Lytechinus pictus: one gene and its partner. Each later gene encodes a partner of the first gene's protein in a complex. Links are inferred from orthologs where the notes say so. Each region holds a gene or a part of one and is shown on either strand. Other genes may lie near its edges.

Region 1 (3,930 bases):
AATGAAATTTCTGTTTTGCACAATTTTTTTCACTTTGTCGCAATTTTTCATTGTGATCTGGTTTCCAAATCTTTATAAAAATCATACCATCAGATAGAGCATAAAAAATCCTATTGGACTCTTTATGGACAAGTTTTTGGCATTAATAATAAATTTATAACAGCTCTCGATCTCGGAAGCTAAAAATTTGGATTTGTGTGTGTCCATTTCTTAACTACACAGTCTTTGGCAGAGAAATGCTGAAAATTTACCTCCTAGGCCTAATTTCATTCTTCTTTTTTGCAGCCAATAATTGGATTTTTTTCAAAAATGTTACATTTCTGTCAGTCTGAAGGTCATTTCTCTTCGAATTCACAAAGAAAATGTGATATTTTCTTGAAATAAGAAAAATAATTTTTTTCTCCAGACACCCTAGGCCTAGCCTAGGCCTCATAGTCATAGTTTTTTTTTTCTGACAAATTATATTTTATTTATTGCTGGAGTTTGGTTTGGACTAGGGGTTATTTAGGCCAGGGTTAACATAATATTAATAATGTAACTCGGAATAGGAAATGAAATGCAGAAAAGATAGTTTAAAGGAAGAGAAGAACAGATGACAATTATATAGTGAGTGATTGTATTACCGACCGGCCTTGTATTACCGAACGCGCGCATCATACGCATCAGAAAATAATTTTATTCGCTCAAAATTTTGCAACATCCCGGGGCAACATCCTTCCAAAGAGAACTTAAATAGAAAGATGATGAAAAGTTGTAAAAAACACATTATCAAAGTCTTAATATTCTAAAAATAACAAAAATATGGTCAAAATAGCTCATCAGTGATTTTGTTGTTTTTTCAACTTTTCCCATAGAAAACACATGTTCGGTAATACGATACCTTTTCATGTGACCAAAATATTTCACATGCGAAGAGGGGTCCGATTGGAAGCTAATATCGTAAAAAGGACTAACGATTTCGGCAAAATTTTTACATATTTATATTTTGTAGGTAATTGTGTATTTATGGTGAAAGTTTGGTGAATTTTATGATAATAATGTGTTTGATATGATTGAATTCATGAAAAGTGTTCGGTAATACGATCCACTGACCACTACCATACAACAAACACCTCCAAAATAAAGTCATACCTAGGCCTACACAATTAACAGCATATGGGACTGCGCCGGCGTTAGTGACTAGTCTGATAAACTAATCTGATCATTAATTTTCGTGTTGTGTTTCAATACATTAAATTTATAATTACATCTTAAATAGCCACACTCAATATGTATACGATTGACTCCACGGAAAAAATCTCACAAAATATAAAAATATTGCTTTTTTAGCTTAATAAATGAGAAAATGAAGCGATGAAATGGGCTTACCTTTCAGATATGTTGATAATGGTTGCTGGTAACAACGTTGCCAATCGGTCAAGGCCAAGGGTCGTTGCTTCTCGCATTTTTAAATAAAATTACAAAAAAATCAATTTAATTTACTAAATTCATTTTTATATAATTTTAAAGGTATTCTTGTGAAAAATCTTGAAGTCTGATCATCATGAAAATCAATAAATAGTAACATTTAACATACGAGGTTGTGAATTTTTTTGCTGGTTCGTATTTTTCGGAAAGAACGTTAAAAATGGCTTCTTCTCTGATATTGCAGCTGAATTCGAGGTATGTTTGCCTATTTTGAAAAGCATTGGTAAAATCAGATATAACTACACCGTCTTTATGATGGTTTACTCAAGCAAAATTTATTTAATGACGTATTACAAGTTCGCTATATTTTTTATGTAGACCCACATGTATGATTTTGTGTAGCCTAACGTTAGGCTAGCGCTCTCAACTTCTTCTAGTTCTATATTAGTATTACTCACTAGGATGGGGGGTCGGATGTCCGGACACATTATATTTTTGATGCCTTCTTTTTTGTCTTTGGATTACACTAAAAATATGAATTCAATGGAAGTAATAATCTTCTAATTTGTTCTCTATAATATTTCCTAACATTTTTGATTTTGTATTAAAAATTGATGAAACTTCGCTTGTATTTATTTTTCCAAATAGTTTAGTTTCTAATTCTATTAATAATTATATTCTAAAATTGATCGTCCGGACACACAACAACTGGGTATACTATTAGTATACTAATACTAACCTCGAAATACATGTGAGTGATCTTGGGCTGGCAACCAGCCAAGAACAGGGCTGCCAACTTTTGAGAAGAGTTTGGAGTGAGACATTGTGAGGGCAGAGATGCCAAGTTCAAAAAAATGTTATGCGTGAGATTTTCATGACTCGGCGTTTCTGCGCGCGCGCAACCAGTACTTACACTTGTACGTTTCGAAAAGGCGCGTGCGCGAGATATAGTATTGATTATAGGCTTCATCATGATATCGATCCATATTACTACCATGTCCATACTGTCGGGTCCCGATGCGTGAGAAAAATGGGTGCCATGCGTGAGATCGTGAGACGGACCCTGAATGCGTGAGTCTCACGCACAATGCGTGAGACTTGGTAGCTCTGCGAGGGAGGGAGCGAAGCGACCAAGCCCGAGGGGGGGTGGAAGGGGAAGGGGGGGTGTCCCCCCTTCCACGGTATAGGGAGCTTTTGCACATACTTGTTTTAACTCAGATTCGGTCATAAGGCAGGATTCAAATACATGTAGGTTAATTGACTTTTTTAATGAAGTTCTCTGACCTTGAAAAAAAAATCCACATTTTTAAGCGCATTATTCCAAATCAACTGTCTTTATATTATATAAGCTTAGCAGTGAAACCTCAACCTGTGATTATCTGCTGCTCCCTTAAAAGAATGAAGGAAAGGAAGAAATAAAGAAAGAAAAAAATAAGAAAGAAAAAAAGAAAAGGTAAAAGGATGGATGGAACAAAGAAAGAAAGAACAAAAGACAAAGAAGAAAGGAAGGAATGAGAGAAAGATCGAAGGCTGAAAGAAGGAAGAAATAAGAAACAAGAAAGGGTAAAGAAAGGATGGATGGAAATGTTGAACATGCTGCTGATATTGCAAAAAGAGCCAATACCAAGCTTGGCATAATTAAGAGATCCTTCACGGCTCTAAATGAGAAGGGCTGGCTCAAACTCTACAAAGCTATTGCAAGTCCTACCCTAGAACATTGTAATCCTGCTTGGGCTCCAGTCTTAGAAAAAAGATGAAGATCAACTAGAAAAGATACAACGAGACTACTTCCCAGCATTCGTCATTTAGATTACCCTGAAAGATTGAGAATTTTGGGACTCCCTACTCTTTCATACAGAAGGCAAAGAGCAGAATTAATTCAAATCTTCAAAATCACAAGAGGTATTGATCGGATAGATCTGAGTAGCCTGTTCCATCTTGATGATAATAAAAGGACCAGAGGTCATAGTATGAAATTCAGGAAATACTGATGTAGATTACAGACACTGCAATATGCTTTTACAGCTAGAACCATTAATAACTGGAATGCTTTGCCTGAGGAAGCAGTTTCTGCTAAGTAGTGTAAATGCAAATAAATCTGCAATCGAGAGGCACTGGAAATCCCATCCATTAAAATATTGACCATACCAGAGACAACCCTACGTGACGAGGGACAAATAAGCTTCCAGCTTTATGTCTCTACATCCAAGTAAATCCAAGTAAGTAAGAAAGAACAAAAAAGAAACAAAGAATGAAGGAACGAAAGGGTAAAAAGAAGGAAGGAAGGAAAGATAGAAAGAAAGAAAGAAAGAAGAGATAAATATAGGATGGATGGACTCAAGAAATAAAGAAAGAAAGAAATCAAAAAAGAAAGAAAAAAAAGAAAGAGAAACAAAAACGGAGAAAAATATTTTTTAAAAGGACAGAAAGAACGAAAGATAAAGAAAAGAAGGAAAATTAAAAAAGAAAGACAGTAACAAAAAATGAAATAAGAGAGGGAAGACGCAAAGAAAGATTGAAAAG
Region 2 (3,930 bases), on another chromosome or scaffold:
TTAGGCATTTTGCTCATTTCTCTGCAATTTTCTTCCAGAATATTTGGCATATTTCCATCTGCACATACAAACCCTTCATTGGCCATTTTCAAAGGTTTATGATTTTGAGATTGAGATTGAGATGACTGGCATTTATCTTTAAAGGAGAATGAAACCCTTGAAACCAGCTGAATCCATATCAAAGAGAAAAATCAAAGAAACATATTGTTGAAAGTTTGAGGAAGATTGAATGAATAATAAGAAAGTTATGAGCATTTGAATGTCGAGATCACTAATGCCATGTAGATCCTCCTATTGGCAATGCGACCAAGATTTGTGATGTCACACACGTACAACTCCCTCATTACTTTAGTACTAATTTCACTTATATTCTCACTTTTATAGAGTCTATCACAAGGTGAGGTGTTCACTTTATGAGAGGACAAGTACAGAGGTTTCACAACATTATATCATTGATGAATCGTTTGTCATATGATTAGAATGAGCAAAAAGAGATGTTTTGGGGTATATTTTCAGTGTCCAAAAGGGGAGAGTTGTTCATCTGTGACATCATAGATCTTGGTCGCATTGCCAATGGGAGGATCTCCATAGCATTAGTGATCTCGACATTCAAATGCTCATAACTCTTTTATTGCTAGTCCTATTTTAATCAAACTTTTGTTGATCTTATTCTTTGATTTTTCTGCTTTCACAAAAGCTAACTTGCTTCAAGAGTTTCATTCTCCTTTAAAGCAGGACTAAAGCTTTGGTTAAGGGTAAAGAATTATACTCAAGTATCATTTGACATGCTACTGAGTACTAACACAAAATAGTTGTGACCATTGAATAATCTTTCAACTGTTAAAATAAAATTTTGAATTGTTTCATATCTAGGGCCATTTCTCAGACCTGATAATATTTTTGATTTTTCTTAAAAAAATGGCATATAGTGCAATCACCTTTATGCAAATAAACATTAAAAAAGAAATCATATCCTTGTATTTTCAACCTATTCCATGCTTGAGAAGTGGTTTTATACCAAAAGAAGAGGTGGTAAAAGAGTAAATATATGAACAAATATTGTAAAATAAAGAAATGCGTTTGATCATCACCACTACAATTATATTGGGAATTCAATTTCCACTTTGTCTTCTTCATTTTACACTTCGTCAGACGTGACCTGCCACCTCAAAACCAACAATTAGTTTATTAACATGAAACTTGAGATTTCTCTTGAGCTTCAAAAAGGACATCCATAGCCTATATATATAACTTGTCAAAATTGATTAAAAAATAACCCACACAAGGATCAATTGAATCCATGTAGAATGTATTCAGTGACAGCTTAAAAAAATAAGGAGAAAACAAGAAAACAAGGTTCGAATTTTGGGGTTCTCTCAAGCTTGAGATACAGGCCTAAGAAACTTTCAAGCAGTTCAGAAAAATTGATGTCAAAGAAAATCGTGTATATTGGCTTTTATTAATTTTACAACTTAAATTTAAACAGCATGAAGAAGGATAAATACTCTTTCAGATAAGCTAATTTCACTATTTAAGAACAAATTTGACCAGCCACCAAAAAACCATCAATAAGTTGCCCAACAAGTATTTTGAGATTTTCACATCCCAAGCTTTAAGATGATATATATCTTGTCAAAGCTAGTCAATAACCCATACAATTACTTGATTGGATGCAGAAGTACATGTAAGCGGCAGCTTAAAACAATAAGGGGAAAACAAGATTTTAATTTGGGGGTTCACTCAAGCATGAGATGTACACACTGAGCAATCTCAATGAAACATCCAAGTACTCTGAAAAAACTTGTGTCAAAATAACTCTTTCATCTTCTTTTCTATCAAACGCTTACACTTGAAATTTTAACAATATGATTATGAAGAAGAATTGCTCTTTCAGATAAGCTAATCAATTATTTGGTTTTTGAAGATCAAATTACTATTTTGGCTATTTACAGAGAACTGTTCCCTGGCGATTTATTGTTTTGGGGGTGGCTGGTCACAAACAATTACAGGGAACTTTCCCCGGTGACTTATTGTTGTTTTGGGGTTGGCGTAGATGTTACATGAAATGGGTAAAGCCTACGTATCTGGAAATTAGACAACATAGTGAATGGGCTAAATGGCAATTAGACCAGATGGTTAGAAGAAGAACTGATTGTAATTGAACTAGGGTTAAATCAAGCGAAAGGAGACAAAATGGATGTAGACAACATGGGTGGCGATTAACCAAGAAAACTAGAAACATACATACTACTACTAAAAAACTTACCCTGGGTCTAAAAGATTTGTTATTCGCTCTCTGACGAGCATCTTTCCTTGTGAAACATGTCGCGCTATACTCCTCTCTCCTCCACCCTGTGCAATCTGCGATACTGTAGATTTCAGTTGATTAACAAGTCCTTTCATCTGTTCATAGTTCTCCTGCAATGGCATGATAAACACATCCAAGTATTAGTGGTGCTAGCGAGGAGTTATAATTGTCTTCAAGACATTTGGGGGCAAATTAAAAGTGTTCAAATCATGTTTTTTTTAACATTCTTACACAAATAGAGCAAGAACTTCAAAATAGAGAGAAAAAATTAAATTAGAACTACGATGTTCAAAGTCATTGGGCAATTCACTGAACTCTTGTTATATCCACAATGCCTATACCTCCATCTATAGTTTGATGCTGATATATATATATTTTTTCTCATTCAGGAAAAGGAGCCCAAAAGCAATAAAAAGTGAAAAATAAATGAATCTATAACATATTCTTTGATTATCCCAATAAGGTATTTTTATACCTAAATAAGCCAAATATGACGAAAAATTATTCCATATATTCTTGGATTATCCCCAAAATGTATAAATAAGCTTATATAATGAAAAGTTTTCTATTCTCACCAGAATCGTATTTTCTCCCATTAAATTTCCATGTATGTACATGTTAGTCTAAAAATATATCTTTTAGAATTCAGAGTCAAGAAAGAAGAGATTATTCCTCATTTTCAATGTTGAAGAATAAGAAAGTCACAGCTAAAACAATGCCTTAAGCTGTTATATTATAACTCCTATCGAGGAACTTCTAATCTTTCAGTGCGAACTTGCGAAGTGTACAGCCCAGTCTCGTATTGCCTCAAAAAAGTCATTGACCCACAGGCCTCTCATGATTATGAACAGTGATACATAACAGACATAAAATGGTAAGAGTTAAAAGTATAAATGTAAAAAAAAACCACATGGTCTGTCTTTCAATTCACCTCAATGGTATTAAACTTTTGTAATGAATTTTGTTATTTCTCTCCAAGACGTGACACTGCTATGATTGTAACAAATCGCTATTCTGAACACTGGGTTCTCTCTTTCATATCTCTGTACATCCCCGCCCATCTTTACACAGAAAAACCAATCAGAATCACCATTACTTACAAGCGGGAGCCCCTCTAATCAATAGGAAGCCCAGAAAAACATAGGGGGGGGGGGGTTTCCTAAATACAGTAGCTGAGACTGCTCGTATATTAAGGTGTTTAATCAATCATAATCATATCTAGATGAAATAATTCTTTAAAAAATACCCTGTTCTTTGAAGAAAAAAAATTATTCTCATTCTCTCATTTTCATTGTTTTTTTTTTCTCTTGGTAATTTTATTCAATTTGAAAATGAAAGTAAGGAGGACTTTTATTTTTGTTAAAAAAGAGAAAATAAATAGAAGTTCTAAGGAACCATATAGAATCTGCATGCTGTATAAGATGATATAATAATTAGTAGTATTATACTAATTATTTATAATCACGTATTAAATTTTAGTATTTGTGAAATAATATTTTTTATCTATAAATTGTTGTTCAAAATGGCATCGCTAATCGGATGTATGTCATAACGAAGCGGTTCAAGGGTCAGGTCTATTGTATTTGCTTTGTTGACAAATGGATCGAGGGATCTACACGAGA

The links.
Region 2: the proteins of methylcrotonoyl-CoA carboxylase subunit alpha, mitochondrial-like (region 1) and methylcrotonoyl-CoA carboxylase beta chain, mitochondrial-like are in contact, whole or in part, in a cryo-EM structure (PDB 8JXM), measured with the Homo sapiens proteins. The link is inferred for Lytechinus pictus from reciprocal best matches to the Homo sapiens genes MCCC1 and MCCC2. Residues at the interface, in NP_064551.3 of Homo sapiens: Glu519, Phe526, His531, Asp532, Phe534, Ser535, Pro536, Phe537, Ser538, Ser539, Ser540, Ser541, Gly542, Arg543, Arg544, Leu545, Asn546, Ile547, Tyr549, Thr550, Arg551, Tyr568, Tyr636, Leu637, Ser641, Glu644; in NP_071415.1 of Homo sapiens: Leu56, His57, Val60, Glu61, Lys64, Asp88, Ile91, Pro93, Gly94, Ser95, Pro96, Phe97, Leu98, Glu99, Gln102, Ile123, Gly124, Arg125, Gly128, Glu130, Arg234, Trp276, Leu278, His281, His282, His285, Lys298, Lys299, Leu300, Ile304.

What each region holds. Positions count from the first base shown.
Region 1 is NC_087260.1:10,672,098-10,676,027, reverse strand, and holds the start of methylcrotonoyl-CoA carboxylase subunit alpha, mitochondrial-like, read left to right. Parts: upstream 1-1,385; 5' UTR 1,386-1,627; coding exon 1,628-1,662; intron 1,663-3,930.
Region 2 is NC_087247.1:31,535,774-31,539,703, forward strand, and holds the start of methylcrotonoyl-CoA carboxylase beta chain, mitochondrial-like, read right to left. Parts: upstream 2,431-3,930; coding exon 2,267-2,430; intron 1-2,266. UniProt on the Homo sapiens protein: Carboxyltransferase subunit of the 3-methylcrotonyl-CoA carboxylase, an enzyme that catalyzes the conversion of 3-methylcrotonyl-CoA to 3-methylglutaconyl-CoA, a critical step for leucine and isovaleric acid catabolism.